Macaca mulatta: one gene and its partners. The protein of the gene in region 1 interacts with the protein of each later gene in a pairwise test. Links are inferred from orthologs where the notes say so. Each region holds a gene or a part of one and is shown on either strand. Other genes may lie near its edges.

The links.
Region 2: the proteins of BNIP2 (region 1) and BCL2 interact in a two-hybrid assay, tested with the Homo sapiens proteins (3 studies listed by BioGRID and IntAct). The link is inferred for Macaca mulatta from reciprocal best matches to the Homo sapiens genes BNIP2 and BCL2.
Region 3: the proteins of BNIP2 (region 1) and FRK interact in binary tests that used the Homo sapiens proteins (3 or more experiments, as listed by UniProt). The two-hybrid records come from large-scale screens. The link is inferred for Macaca mulatta from reciprocal best matches to the Homo sapiens genes BNIP2 and FRK.

Annotation. Positions count from the first base shown.
Region 1 is NC_133412.1:36,989,535-36,994,792, reverse strand, and holds part of BNIP2 (BCL2/adenovirus E1B 19 kDa protein-interacting protein 2), read left to right. Parts: intron 1-170; coding exon 171-302; intron 303-2,142; coding exon 2,143-2,229; intron 2,230-2,556; coding exon 2,557-2,655; intron 2,656-3,418; coding exon 3,419-3,454; intron 3,455-5,258.
Region 2 is NC_133423.1:17,763,195-17,768,452, reverse strand, and holds part of BCL2 (apoptosis regulator Bcl-2), read right to left. Parts: intron 2,829-5,258; coding exon 2,694-2,828; 3' UTR 1-2,693. UniProt on the Homo sapiens protein: Suppresses apoptosis in a variety of cell systems including factor-dependent lymphohematopoietic and neural cells. Regulates cell death by controlling the mitochondrial membrane permeability. Appears to function in a feedback loop system with caspases.
Region 3 is NC_133409.1:21,104,559-21,109,816, forward strand, and holds part of FRK (tyrosine-protein kinase FRK), read right to left. Parts: intron 2,479-5,258; exon of another isoform or gene 2,310-2,478; intron 2,164-2,309; exon of another isoform or gene 2,161-2,163; 5' UTR 1,879-2,160; coding exon 1,535-1,878; intron 1-1,534. UniProt on the Homo sapiens protein: Non-receptor tyrosine-protein kinase that negatively regulates cell proliferation.

The sequences.
Region 1 (5,258 bases):
TATACATCTCTAAAAAATAACTTTTTAAAATAATCATAATACAAGCTAATGCAGTTTGAGCATTTTCATTGTAGGAGAGAGGAGGGAATTGTATAATTGTATAATTTAGAGAACCTAGTTCAGTTATGCACAGTGATTTTTAAGGCTTAAACTTAATTTGTTTTTTACAGATATGTTATTGGCACTTTGGAGCTATTAGTAGCAGAAAACTACATGATAGTTTATTTAAATGGTGCAACAACTCGAAGAAAAATGCCCAGTCTGGGATGGCTCAGGAAATGTTATCAGCAAATTGATAGAAGGTAATACACATACAAGTTGAAAGCTAGTCTGATAAATTTTTATAATGGCTTTAGTAGATCAAACTTTGTTTTCTGTTGCCTTTTTTTTTTTTTTTTTTTTTGAGACGGAGTTTCACTCTTGTTGCCCAGGCTGGAGTGCAATGGCACCATCTTGGTTCACTGCAACCTCTGCCTGCCAGGTTCAAGCGATTCTCCTGCCTCAGCCTCCCAAGTAGCTGGGATTACAGACATGCACCACCACGCCCAGCTAATTTTGTATTTTTAGTAGAGATGGGGTTTCTCCATGTTGGTCAGGCTGGTCTCGAACGCCTGACCTCAGGTGATCCTCCTGCCTCGGCCTCCCAAAGTGCTGGGATTACAGGCATGAGCCACCACACCCGGCCTTCAGTTGCTATTTTAAAACACCATTTATTTTTTAAATTTTATTTATTAATTTCATGGCAGGTTTCTATTTTCTAAAGATAGCATTTTAGAATATTGTGAGGGAAATCAATTTTGATTTTTCTATAAAGAATAACCTTAATTCTTCTAACTTACAAAGTAGCTCTATATTTCTCCTTATTTATAAGGAGAAATTGAACACTTTCTCCTTATTTATAAGGTGCAATTTTCTCCCCATTGAACACTTTCCTACTATTTACATCTTGGGAAAGGATGGAGAATGTAGTGTGTTTCCTATTTTATTACATTCTGAGGTTTGCCTAATTTATAGTGCTTAGGATGTTTTATGTTTTTGTTTTTGTTTTGTTTTGAGACAGGGTCTCACTCTGTCACCTAGGCTGGAGTGCAGTAGTGCAATCTCTGCTCACTGTAGCGGCGACCTTCCAGGCTCAGGTGATTCTCCCACCTCAGCCTCCCAGGTAGCTGGGACTACAGGCTTGTGCCACCACACCCAGCTAATTTTTGTATTTTTTGTGGAGACAGTGTTTCCGCATGTTGCCCAGGCTGGTTCTCGAACTCCTGGACTAATGCGATCCACCTGCCTCGACCTCCCAAAGTGCTAGGATTACAGGCATGAGACACAGTGCTCAGTCTTTATGTTTCTTAATGATGCTTGTTTAGTTGTAAAAGTCTTTCTTTGGAACAAGCTTTTGAAGCATATTGTCTTGGGAGTTAGTCATTAGTACTTAATGGAAGGAATGTGATCTTCCAATTGGTTTGATCTTGCCATGGCTAATTTAAATCAAGTCTAAATTTGACATTGGCTAGCTCTTGTGATTATATATGTATCTCACTTTATGTGTGAAATATGCATAATACAATAAGTTTGTATTTAGTCATTTAAAAAGAAGAGCTCTAGGATAATACCTTTAATATTTAATCAAAACTTTAAATTCCTTGAGAATAGGAGTTAGATCTGATTTGTTTTTGTTCCTGTGGTCATCTTCTCCACTCACACTTCTCTGCCTGCACAGTGCTTTTCGTGATTTTGAAGAACTTAGCACCAAGTTCTCCCTAGTCTTGGAAAATGAGGATAGTTTACTTTTACATTCAGGATGGCCTCTTTCCCTGGTTGACAGAGTCCTGAAGACAAGTGAATGTGTATGCTAGGAGACATTTAATAACAGGCTATACTATGGACATAAATTTGGCCAAATAAAGTAAAGTTCATTTCATAGCAGTAGGAGGGACCATCAGAATTCAAGAATCCTTTTTCTTGTCTACAGGGGTATCATACCTAAATGAAAACTCCTGGGTGAGATTTTTCAACTATTATTTTGTATAAAGTTGCACATATTTATTGATGTCTTGACTTTTAGCATTAGAATTTATAGAGATTTTTAATTTTCTTTGTGTATGTGTGTTTTTTTGTTTTGTTTTGTTTTTTTATTAACTCCAGGTTACGGAAAAATCTAAAATCCCTAATCATTGTACATCCTTCTTGGTTTATCAGAACACTTCTGGCTGTTACAAGACCATTTATTAGGTAATTTTTGAGAGCCATTGACTTTAATTTTATTTTAACTTTTTTTTCATTTATTTTTAGTTAACACATAATAACTATACATATTTATGGGATACAGAGCTATATTTTGATATGTGTATACATTGTATAATGATCAAACCAGGGTGATTAGCACATACATCACCTCAGACATTTATCATCTTTTTGTGTTTTGAACATTCAAAATGACATGAGTTTTTTAAAAAAAATTCTTACATTTGTATATAAGAAATTTTTGTATCTTGTAAACATTGTATCCATTGTATTTGTCAGAAATATGGAGGTAATTATTTTTATTTTCTTCCATAGCTCAAAATTCAGCCAAAAAATTAGATACGTCTTTAATTTGGCAGAACTAGCAGAGCTTGTCCCCATGGAATATGTTGGCATACCAGAATGCATAAAACAGTATGTTTTGTTTTATTTCCTTAATTGTATTGGATCTTAATATTTTGATGTGCAACGGATAATACTTTTCAATACTCATTCTTTATGTATTTTATAACTGTGTGTCTCTGTGTGTGTGTGTGTGTGTGTGTGTGTGTGTGTGTGTGTGTGTGTGTAACAAAGAAAAAGAGGAAGAAGCCATTTCCCACACCGTCCCCATAAGTTAGCATTTTCTTCAGGCTGTCAATTGAAGAACTAGGATAAATTATTTCTGGTTGTGATTCATGTTACACTTTTTAGACTGGTTATAATCTAAGAGATGATTTTTCTAATTGATCAGTACTAAAGAACGTTCTCCAGACTTGAACATGGTGCTCAACAAATTTGAGTAAACTCATCATGAATATTATTATTGAATAATTATATTGCTAAATAAAAATATTTAAATCATTATAACCTTAATGTTTTCCAGTGACTGCAATTTTGTTCTGATTATCAGATTCACATTCTTCCATGTAACTTCTTGGACTTGATAGAAGGCTGTTAACATAAATACCTGAGTATTACAATGCATGTGGAAAAGTTTCTTTGTTCTGCTCACATGAGGTTTTACTCTATTTAATGTGTGAAAGTCAGATTTATTAAGTCAGTTTTTACTTTCTACATCATGTATTAAATATTTTTCGTTTTGCTGGAAAATGTAAATGGGTTTAAGTACCTTTTTTCAAGTTTTTATTCATTTTCATAACATGTATATTTACTGAAATAACTCTTCCCTACAAAGGTATGAAGAAGAAAAGTTTAAAAAGAAACAAAAAAGGTATATGCACACCTTGACTGGGTTGCATCTAGACTAGTCCATTTGCATTGCACACTAACTCTTCCTTATTGGTTGGTTAGCTTGTAGACAAAGATAATAGCATTTGTAAATATAAACGTACCCAACTTCCAAATATAGGGTGAACCCAGAGTTCCTAAGGCTGAATATGACTTGGATTCACCCTGTTTTATTGCCATATGTGATGCCAATTAAGACTTAAAGACCACGGACCCTTCTCTCTCCTTCTTAGTCCAAGTACTAATGGTGAAACCACAGAAATTACTAAAAATGGTATTTGGAACACCAAATAAAAGACTTCAGTTGTTTCACCATTTTCTTTAAATAGCTAACTTGTGCTTTTGAAATATTTTTGCAGACTTTTTAAAAGCTATCCATTTATTTCCCTGGGGTTGATTATTATATTTGCAATGCATATATTCTTTGGCTAACCAACATTAATTTCCTTTTATGCTTAAATTAAATGGCTTGCTAACCAGTCAAATTCTACATGTGATAAAATACCTAAAATCTCAGTGTCCCATTTAACAGTTAAACACTCTGCTTTCTATTTTAAATTTAATTTTGAACACTTCTGCTTTGAGCATAACAAACTATTATCTATTGATACCTTGACATAGATGGTGAAAGAAGGCAAGGGTATAAAATACTTACAATTTTATATAATAATTTAGAAAAATGTAGAATTTGGATCTAGTTTGTTAGATCTTTAAAATATTGGCAATTAAATTAGCAAAACATAGTTTAATGCAGTCTTAAGAGTTATGGTGAGAGATTTATATGTAATTATCTTGACTATTCTAAGGAGCCAACTGTAACTAACTGGAACATTCTTAACTTTGAACACATTTTGTTTCTGTTGATGAGTGAGAATTCAGTAGGCCTTATGATAGAATCAGTTTTACACTTCTATATGACACTTCACAGTTTAACCAACACTTTAACATAAATGTAGACAGTGATTTTAGATCATGCTGATTTCTCATTCCTTTCTAGGCATTACTGTGCATCCGACAGACACGTGACTGAAATTAAAAATATGATTTGTAATTGTAGAATATTTTGAAGCCAGCCGCTTCATAGATTTCACAGTGAATTGCCTTTGTTGATAAAATGTGCTGTATTAAGCCTTTTTTAAAAAAAGTTTTTAATACTGTAAAGTAATTTAGACATCAGAAAAAAATATGGAATTTGTACTTTAAATGTATTGTTTGAAACCGGTCACTATTTTATCTTGAGTTTTTTTTTACTTGTGTTTAACCATAAATACAATTATTACATGTATCTTTCAAAAACTTTGTGGTTTCTGTAGTTTTTTTAGTCTTAAAAAATAATAAATTTTTGTCAATCTGAAAAGGATAAAATTTAATTTTTAAATTAAATTTAGATAGGCATGTTTTGTTTTGAGACAGAGTTTTGCTCTTGTCACCCAGGTGGGAGTGCAATGGCCCAATCTCAGCTAACTGCAATCTCTGCCTCCTGGGTTCAAGCGATTCTCCTGCCTCAGCCTCCCAAGTAGCTGGGATTACAGCCTCCCACCACCACGCCTGACTAATTTTTGCATTTTTAGTAGAGACCAGGTTTCACTGTGTTGGCCAGGATGGTCTCGAACTCCTGATCTCAGGTGATCTGCCCACCTTGGCCTCCCAAAGTGCTGGGATTACAGGCGTCAGCCACAACACCCAGCCTAAACCAAACTTTACAGAGGCTAGGTACAAGGGAGCTTATTTAAGGTGACAACTCCATGATATGATAAGTACTGGTGCTAAGGAAAATATGAAACTAT
Region 2 (5,258 bases), on another chromosome or scaffold:
ACAATAAAAGACAAAAAAAAAAAAAAAACAGGCTTTATATTAAAAACGTCCATATTCTTCATTGTTACTTCTAAAGCAGCTTGGAGGATCTTACCACGTGGAGCATACTGCAAACTGACTCCATTAAAATGGTTTTGGCAGGATAGCAGCACAGGATTGGATATTCCATATTCATCACTTTGACAATGTAAACCTTTCATAAAATAATATTTTGCTTAAAAATTAGAATCATTCAAAGGTCTGATCATTCTGTTCCCTGAGGCCCGCCGGGGAGGTCTGGCTTCATACCACAGGTTTCCTGCTTTCTTGGTGGAGCGTAAGCACCACTGCATTTCAGGAAGACCCTGAAGGACAGCCACAAGAAAGCCCCCACGGAAGGAGGGCAGGGCTCTGGGTGGGTCTGTGTTGAAACAGGCCACGTAAAGCAACTCTCTAAAGGTCAAACCACCATAGATTTTAATCCGCTGGTCATTCCCCATCTGGATTTTTAACTGAATGAATCTCAGGGGTTTAACCAAACATGCATGTAATCCTGAATAACATGAATTAAATGCGGAATTGCCCAGGGATGAATAAACCTTCAAGAAACAAGGTCAAAGGGACAACAGATATATCTGTCACAAAAAACAATTCTGTTGACATGGAAATGCACATGACTTGGTTGAAACAATGCTCCTCAGTGGCCAGTGACATCCAGGTTTTTCTTAGGTAGCTGAGACTCAGGGCTTCTCACCTTCTCAGAAATGCTTTTGAAGAATCAAGAGACAAAAATCCCAAACAGAAAATGATCACTTCTGCTCACAAATAGTGTATAGGCCATAACTAAATACAATTAAAAAAAAAAAATAAACGCTGAGATGCATGTATTTTTTTAAAGCAGCTTTCGAAATATCAACCACAGCATTAAACACTGAACAGAGTACATTCGAAAGTTAATACAGATAAATGATATATAATGCAATAATGCCACAGAGTTATTCCATCAATGTCTCAAGGCTGATTCTAAACTGGAAGAAAAAAACACAACAAACACTTTCTAGTTTATTTGCTGAAGATGTCACTTCTTTTGTTACTTCTTTATAGTTTCCCACCATTGATTGTTTTTAAGTGCCCCAGGATGTACAGATAATCCCCATATTCCACACCTGGAACTTTTCTTTTTTCTGTCAGGTTTTCAAATAAAACCAAACTACAGTGACAAGATAATGTTTTACATGTAATTCCATAGACATAGGTCAATTAATCCATGACACCTTACTTCAATGCTTCCTTTAGGATTTAAGACCCTCTCCAAAGTCATTTAAAGCCTTGCTTTAAACTGCACAGGTGGGCCACAGCCACACAGCCAACGTGCCATGTGCTATGGCCAAAATGGGCCATGGCCGTTGCCTCTCCTCACGTTCCCAGCCTTCACCGTGTCCCTCTGCTAGGAAGGGCCCAGGGCCTCTGTTCCTTCTCTCTACAGTGATACATGTCTTAAGAAGGGTTGTGGCTCCCATGCTCCACGTGAAAATGGGCCTATCTGGAGGGCCCCAGGGCGACAGGCCCAGCCGCACCCCTCTATTGCTCTTTCTTGACAGTGGAATTCTGAGCTCCGTCAGCTTCCAGACATTCGGAGACGACACTGCCCTGTTGATCATCCCTGGAGGAGGCCAGTGAGGGCCCAGGCTCAGTTTCAGGACCAGGCCTCCAAGCTGGGATGCAGGCAGGTTCTGCGGACTTCGGTCTCCTAAAAGCAGGCACTTGTGGCGGCCTGATGCTCTGGGTAACTCTAGCCTTCCTGATGCTGAAGTCACCGAAATGTTTACTTCCTCAAGTTCCAGAGGATTATGTTCCTACTCAGACAGAGCCAGTATTGGGATTTGGGGGGTGCGTATCCAAAATATAAGAATATACACAATCAGGGCTTAAGGTACTGGATGATACTGTATAAATTGCTAAAATGCTTCTCGGCACAATTGGTAGCTTAAAAAAATACTTTCCTATGATTTAAGGGCATTTTTCCCATCGCTGTCCTTCGGTGTGGAAATCTCAGTGGGTACCAGGTCCATCTGAAGTTCCCAAATCTTTTCCTCCCACCAGGAATGCGTCATGTGAGTCATATGCAAAGAGTCTCTTCTTCAGACCAGGGAGGCATGGACTTCCCCCCAGGAACCCTCCCTCTGTTAATATCACAGCCCCCAGGGCAAAGACATACAAGTGAATGAGCACCTTCTTCCCAGCCTCCAGCAGCCAGAAAGCCAGCTTCCCCAACGATCAGGTCCTTTTTCCATACATCTGCTCTTCAAATGGTGAGTTAGTCTGGCCAACAACACAGAAAGCGAATCTGTGTTTACAGGCACAGCACATCCAGGTGGAGCCGCACGAAGCGGTGCTTGGCAATTAGTGGTCGGATTTCCAAAGACAGGAGTTTTGATGGGACTGTCTTAAATAAATAAATCTTTTTTTCTTAATAATGTAAAAAATAAACGATATTTCCCTTTGGCAGTAAATAGCTGATTCGACATTTTGCCTGAAAATTGGTGTGTGTGTGTGTGTGTGTGTGTCTGTCTGTGTGTGTGTATGTTTATATGTGTGTTATTTTTTCTTAAACAGCCTGCAGCTTTGTTTCATGGTACATCATTGACAATGCATATCATTTCTACTGCTTTAGTGAACCTTTTGCATATTTGTTTGGGGCAGGCGTGTTGACTTCACTTGTGGCCCAGATAGGCACCCAGGGTGATGCAAGCTCCCACCAGGGCCAAACTGAGCAGAGTCTTCAGAGACAGCCAGGAGAAATCAAACAGAGGCCGCATGCTGGGGCCGTACAGTTCCACAAAGGCGTCCTGCAGTTGGGGTAGAGGAGGAAAGAAAAAGAAAGAGTATTAGAAAGAGAGCAGAGAATGCCACCCCACAGAGAAAAAGGTATCCTGCCAGGGCAGCCTGGGCACCTTCAGAAGGGCGAGAGGGGAAAAGGCAAACGCTCTTTGGAGGCCATGATTCAGAAACCACTGTTTTCATTAATTCAAGACATATTTATTGAGAACCTATTTACATGCCAGGCATCTTAGAGATACAGCAGTGCATAAAATAGACTAAAAGTTCCTACTTCACGAAGCTTCCATCTAGTGGAACAGTATAGACAGCAATGAATATAATTTATCACATGGTGTAGGAGAGAGTGCTAAGGGCCGAGGAGAAAAACAGCGGAGGCAGTTAGAAAATATTAGAGGTTCTGCAGTTTTAGCTAGCACGCCCATCCACAAAAGTAATAAAATGTAGCAGTGATGATGACTGTCACACTCCTTGATTGAGTGTTGACGTCTTATCAAATGTCTGACATACATTATTTTAATCTTCGTACCAAACTTTTTTTTTTTCTTTAAGAGCTAGAGTCTTGCTCTGTTGCCCAGGCTGCAGTGCAGTAGTGCAATCATGACCCACGGCAGTCTTGAACTGTTGGGCTCAAGAGCGATCCTCCTGCCTCTGCCTCCTGACTACCTAGGATTATAATGCTTGGCTAATTTTTAAAATTTTTTGTAGAGATGGGGTCTTACTATGCTTCCCAGGCTGGTCTTGAACTCCTGGGCTCCAGTGATTCTCCTGCCTCAGCCTCCCAAAGTTCTGGGATTAAAGTTGTGAGCTATCTCATCCAGCTAATTCTTTGTACCAATGTTACTAAGTTATTTTATTTGTTTCTGTCTGAAGATGAAAAAGCTGAGAATCACAGGGAATAAGAGACTTTTCTAACAAATGGCATAGCCAGGCTTTGAACCCAGATAGAAACCAGCACCCTTCTCTCTGCTGATGCCCTGGCATGGCTAACGGCAGCTCTGTGAGAGCATTTGGTCGACCGAGGGCTCAGGCGGTGGAGGGGCCAGGGCGGCCTCGACTGGTGCAGTGCCAGCCTCTAAGGTCAAGGTTCTCCCAGGGAAAGGGAGAGGGTTTCTCTTGGGGGTGGCTAGACTGAACGACCACACTCAAATTGTGGATCTCACAAGGCATGAGATCAGGGGTGTGTCACTGGACGTGCAGGTCCGAGAGACAAAGAGGGTGTCTCCCTTCCATTCCTATCTCTCCATCTCAAGTCAGGTCTGTAGTGTTGTAGCAGAGTCCACTCTCTGGATCAGCTTGGATTGGGCAAATCACTGGTTGATCATTTCCTAGATTTGGGGGAGATTATGTGTCACATTTGGGTCCAATGAGTATTTGGACAACTGAATATTTGAATATATACATCAGTAAAGGAATTCTTTTTAGTTCTGATTTATTCAGGTATGAAGAAAACAAGAATAGTTCCACATTATTCCCAACAACCCTGACTCAAAGCACACAATTTTATTACAGGAAACAGTAACATACCATGACCCTGGGCATCGCTGTTGGGAGGGGCTCCAACAGTGCACGGAGGCGTTCCCTTTCTCTGGGGCAAGGGCTGTAGTAGTGGGACCAGGGATTCTCTTTGTCTCCCCCGTGCTGGGCATGGTCTTGGTGCACTGTAGGTGCGTAGTAAATGTTTGTTCACTTAAGTTTTCTGAATACAATCATCAGTTTACATTCTGTCTTTGGCTTAATGCTTTGCCCAGATGCTTATTAATCTGTTTGGAATTACTCCTTCTATATGTAACGGCCTCAGAGAATCCTGAGGTAGTCTTGATGAGGGTTTAAGGGGATTGTTAGGGGGAACTTTCTGCATTATTAAATATAGATTTATGCAATTATTTTCATGATATATAATATGTGCCATACTTTAAAAAATTCATTTTTACAGTGTTTAAAACTTTTGCTATTATAAACGATATCATGATATATTTTTGTACATAAATTCTTGTCTATTTGTTCAGTTGCTTTTTTGAAATAAACTCCTAGAAGTGACCTCAATTGACCAGTCATCAGTATTGCTTCCAGAAATCATGAAGGGCTTGCCTTGAGCCATCCTCACTCTCTCAAAAGGCAGGCACGGATTTAGGGCGTGGGTCACACTGAGGGTGATCCTGCCCCCCAGGGGACATTTGGCAATGTTTGGAAGCATTTTTAGTGGTCGTGATTTGGGGTGAGGGTGCTACTGGTATCTAGTGGGCAGAGGCCAGGGACGCTGTTCAACAGCCCACAACGCACAGGGTAGCCCCCCAGGGCTAACAGGGCCGAGGCTGAGAAACCCTAGTTGACAAGAGGCTCTGTAATCACAGACCACAGAAGAACAGATGACCCACCCAGTGTGTCAACAGCGTTGGTCAAATCAGCCCCATCAGCGAGCCCAGACCAGCGACTGCTCA
Region 3 (5,258 bases), on another chromosome or scaffold:
TACATGTTATGCCAAATATAAAATATGCATAATGCCATATAGGACATAGAAATCATATAGTAGTGAAAACACATAAATGCACATAAGTGTATCCAATGTATAAAGATATTTCCTGTAGATTATAACAGAAAGCAAATGTTCACACAGGTGATTTTCCCACTTGATAACAGATCAATTCCATTCATCAAAAGTATATTTAATTCCTTTCTATTTAAGCATAAATTAAGACCCTTCTAAACATTTATAGGCTCTTGGTGTTGAAAAGAATCTCAAAAATCAAAAATCATCCAACCTCTCTTCATATGTGACGCATGAGTTTGGAAAGTAGCAACAATGCTCTATGGCTATTTATTATTATTTTATTCCCTGGACCAGTAAGGGATTGTCACATAAAAATAAGAAACACTTACATAAGAGAATCTCCAATGGTTTCCCTATTAAGAAACCATTCTATAAAATGAGTCCATCTTCTGAGAGACATTCCCAGCCTAAGGTTTCACTGGATCCAGGCGGCAATGAGATCAGGACCAATAAGAGTCTCCATTTGCTTCCCAACCCACCAGACCCCAAGTATACATTGTCAAGACTATGCTTTATTCACTTTGTGTTCAGTCACCACTAGAATAACCTCCTTTACCCTCCCCGACTCAGTCCACTACTGTCTATGCCTGGCACTTAGAGGGGTGGTAGGTGGATGGATGGATGCGTGGATGGATGGATGGATGGATGGATGGATGGATGGATGGATAGATGGATGAGTGAATAAAGTACGTAAAAACTTTCCTCTTTTGTTCCACTATAATTCATATTTCATTCAAATACCATGATAAAGTCTCAATCTCTTCTTCTAAGGAGATGTTGTCATTTTTCCTATCAAAACTTAGTAAATGTCTGTAGCTGGCCAGTTTCTAATTATAATAAAAACAAAAAGATATCATCATTTGGGTAGCATATCTCAGGACCTGGGAATTTTTTTTAAAAAGTCTATATCATGATTTCACTGAGAACATTAGTATCTTCTAAGTGTTATCTTCTACGTTAGCCCTGTGTATTCCCATCAGAATGAAAGGGATTAGGATGAGAGCTAGGGCTAGAGTTGATATATATAACCCTGGAATGTTTCAAAAGTTTTTTTAAAAAAAGAATCTGAAGTTTAGATTTGAGAGCATCATTAAGGGAAGTCCTATAATATACCTTCAAACAAAATGCAATTTTGTTGTTAAAGTGAGGCACGAGTTATTTCACAGCCAAAAAGAAGGTAGAGTATTAAACACATCATTTGTTTAATGTTGAAAATACACCCTGGGCCTGTGGGTGTACATACTGTAAAAAAGTCATCTCAACAACAATTACCCGCCAGTTTCACTCTCACTCAGCGGGGGAGGTGTGTTTCAATTAGTGGTTTCTTGCCAGTACTTCCTCATACTTTCCTCATACTCTTTGGGCATTAGGGGGTTGTAGAGAAGTAGAAAGGAAAACTCATTACCCAGCCCTCAGACAGTTCAGAAATTAAATAGAAGTTTGTACTACTCACGGCTCTGCCTGTAGGCTTCTGTCCTCAGCCACGTAGTTAGAAGGAATATAGCCCTGTAGTTGCTGACTGGAGCCATCTCGCCTTTTCTCCAAGTGTCTGGCAAACCACCAGCCCTCATGTGAAGTGTCCAGAACTTGAAGTTTGTCACCTGCCCGGAAGCTCAGATCCTCAGCAGTCCGAGCCTGGTAATCAAACAAAGCCACAAAGTAGCGGCCATGCCTCTGTGACTGGGGAGAGCAATGGGCCCCTGGATTTTCAATCACCGTTGACTTGTCTGCTTCCGTCGACAAGCAGGGGAGATAGGGTTCTAGATACTCCCAGAGCCTCTGACAGATGTTGCTCATTGTGCCTTGGTGGGGAGAAGAGGAGCAGGGCTTCTCCCTCTCCCCTTAGTCTCTGCGATCCACCTTCTCTTCCTTCACCAGGCACCTTTGAAGTCAGCACCAACTCACCATACTTTGGAGAGTATGCAAAGTCCCATTTCAAATCAGTCCAGCAGCTGGTTGCAGCAAGTCCTACCTGGAGAGACTTACCGGCTTGCTTTCTGTGGCCGGAGCTGCTACCCCCAAGCAAAACGGAGCAGGAGCTGGGCAGCTGCTCAGTAGGAAGGTATCTTTTCTTCGTATCTGCTTAAGAATCGCACAACAAAAATAAAATAAAATTAAAAGGGCTTTATTTAGACAAATATCTGAGAACAGAATGGTGCCATCTTGCCTTTTGTCCCAATAAAAAGTTAGCAAGAGGAAGCTACTAACCCCTGGCAAAACCTACACACCTTGCTTTCGCCAGGAGCTCTCCCCCTGTTTCAAGTCTGCTCCTGTCTTTGGACCAGTCTGGATCTGGACGGCTCTCTCCTTTTTGCTAATGAATAACCAACCAGCAGAGGTTGTTGCCTTTAACATTCTGAGCTATGAACAGACTGTAATAATTTCCCCTTACTTCCTGGTTTCTTTCTGTGATCTAAATGGGATTCTGACTTCTTTACCCCTCCCATCTCCCACACCCAAGATAGACCAGATCCTTTACCAAACTGTTAAAGCAGCCACTAAAATCTATATTCCTTTTGTTTCATCCTGGAGAAACAGGCTAGCCCAGGTAGCTTTTTGTCTCGCTATGTTCCCAACACTGACATTCACGGCAGAGATTTTTTTCCCCCACAAATAGGAGTAGAATTGTTTTGCCACCACTAGGGGAAATTTAAAACGGCAAATTATTTAGGTATTTCTTGTTAGACACAGAGCAATTGGAAAAGAACCATCAAGTCACTCCCTTTTCTCATTACCAAGAATAGATTTTAATAGCTTCAAAGAAAAGTCACAGTCTGGAAAAGTAAGAAAGCAGCTGACTAAAATGCTGAGAACCCAAAACGTTGCTTTTTCCCACAGACATTTAATTTCCTATCCTTCAAGTACTATTTTGGAAACACACACACACACACACACACACACACACACACCCCACACCAACTAGGTGACCAGTAGAGAAAAAAAGAGTAGGGCAGAGTGCTCTTTGCGCACTGCTGTGGGGGCTCTTTCTGCTAAACTTTGACTTCCAGATCTATACTAGTTCTTGCTAATTTCCTTGGCAAGAACTCAGGAACTAATGAGACTGACATCAGGACAGCCATCTCTAGACAGGCAGTGGGTTTTGCTTGACCTTCCCTAGTTCAGGGCAGCTGTCTCGCAAATATGTGCCCTGGATCACAAAAACAGCTGGGCAATGAGTCTGGCAGTCATTTATACTAGTAGACAGCATTGCAAACTTGTTTATGATGTCACTGATTTCCCTATAAGACTTTTTTTTTAATTTCTTCCTTAAAAACAATCTTTCTAAATGTTGTGAGATCCTTGAACCTGGCTAACCTATTCCTAGTACGAGCTCATAACTTCTGTTCTTTGTCAAATTGCAAGGCATTTAGTAATCAGAATAATCAAACTCAAGAAAAATAAAGAAAGAAAGAAAATCAGAGAACCATGGCATCAGCCCAACCTGCTACTACTTTGTGCAAAAATCAGTCCATAGCACTGGACAGATCAATTGGTAAAAATAAAATCTTGTGTTATGCTCCCAAGTTTCTCCAATCGTCTTTGGAGTCAGAGTACAAATAACAAGTTGACAGAAGTAGAAAAGCCAAAAGCTGAGCCAAGTTTTTGTTGTTGCTGTTGTTGTTTTGTTTTTTAATGAGATGAGACCTAAAATAGAATGTATATGTAATTTTATATTATATACAAAACAGAAAATATATAATATCAAATGACCATAAAGGACATTTTGTTCCAAATACAATAATGGATGTAAAAGCATAGGATTTTATTAGTGCCCCTGACAGAGGCACACATTGCTGAAGTCTTTCCTGAGACATCTACACGATCTAAAAATGAAAAAAAAAAAAAAAAAAGATTTAGAAGCAACCTGAGAGATGTATTGAAACCCAATTTGTAAGTGGGGTTTTAGATTTTTGAATTGTGGGGGTTCTAAATTCAGACATGTCTTTGCTATAGTTATGACAAGGCATTCTGGAAAAAGACAAAGCAGCAGACCTGCACACCACAGTCATTGAGCAAGTGAGTGAAATTCAAAAAGCGGCCAACCATCTGAAGATGTCAGGTGAGCAATGGCCTGAGAACGCAGAGCCAAGGGGTGGAAAGAGAGAGGATTTCTTTGTGTCGATAGTACTAGAATCCTCCAGTCACCCAATCTCAAAGTCTTGCAGTCATCTTTTATTTGCTCCCTGGTTTCTTTGAGCTAATCAATCACTGAATTCTGCTCAGTCTTCCTTTTCATTTATTCCACAAACTTTTTTTTAAGCTCCTTCTGAGTGACAGCTGGGCACCAGACAGAAAACAGAATATTCTTTCCTAAATTATTCCAGAAGCCTCCTAACTGATCTCACTTCCTCCAGCTTATTCCCGTCTCTGGCTGTTCCTGTACACCAAGATGAGTGGTGTTCATAATAGTTTATTGAGCAGTTTTTATAACAGTAACAATGACTGCGGTGATAAGACATTCCTAGTCATTACTGGTAAAAGTAAATATCTGTTTGGTAAGCTTTCTATGTGCCAGGCACTGTACTAAGAATGTTAGAAATAAGATCCAGGAATTCTACTCCAGGGTATGTATCCAAAAGATTTGAAATCAGGAAGCCTGAGAGATATTGAACTCCTATGTTTATTGCAGCACTATTCACAATAGTCAAGTTATGGAATCAATCTAAGTGTTCATCAATTGATGAATGGACAAGAAAATATGGTATATATACACATTGGAATTCTATTCAGCCTCAAAGATGAAGGAGAAGAAGGAAATCTTGTCATATGTGACAACATGAATGAATGTGAAGGACTTTGTGCTAATGAAATAAACCAGACATGGAGGCAAATACTGCATGTTCTGACTTATATGTGGAAGCTAAAAAAATCCAACACATAGAAGCAGAGAGCAGAATGATGGTTACCAGAAGCTGGGGAATCAAGGGAATGGGGAGATGTTGGTTGAGGGCTACAATGTTTCAGTTAGACAGGAGGAATAAATGATAAGTATTCCATTCGAGACCATGGATATGTTAATTAGCTTGATTCAATCATTCTACATTGTATACATGTATCACAGCATTACTTTGTACTCCATAAAATATACAGTAATAATTTGTCAATATCAGGTAAAAATAAGATAATGTTACAAATAATATATCATTTAATTCTCACCAAATAAAAAACAAGGCCTA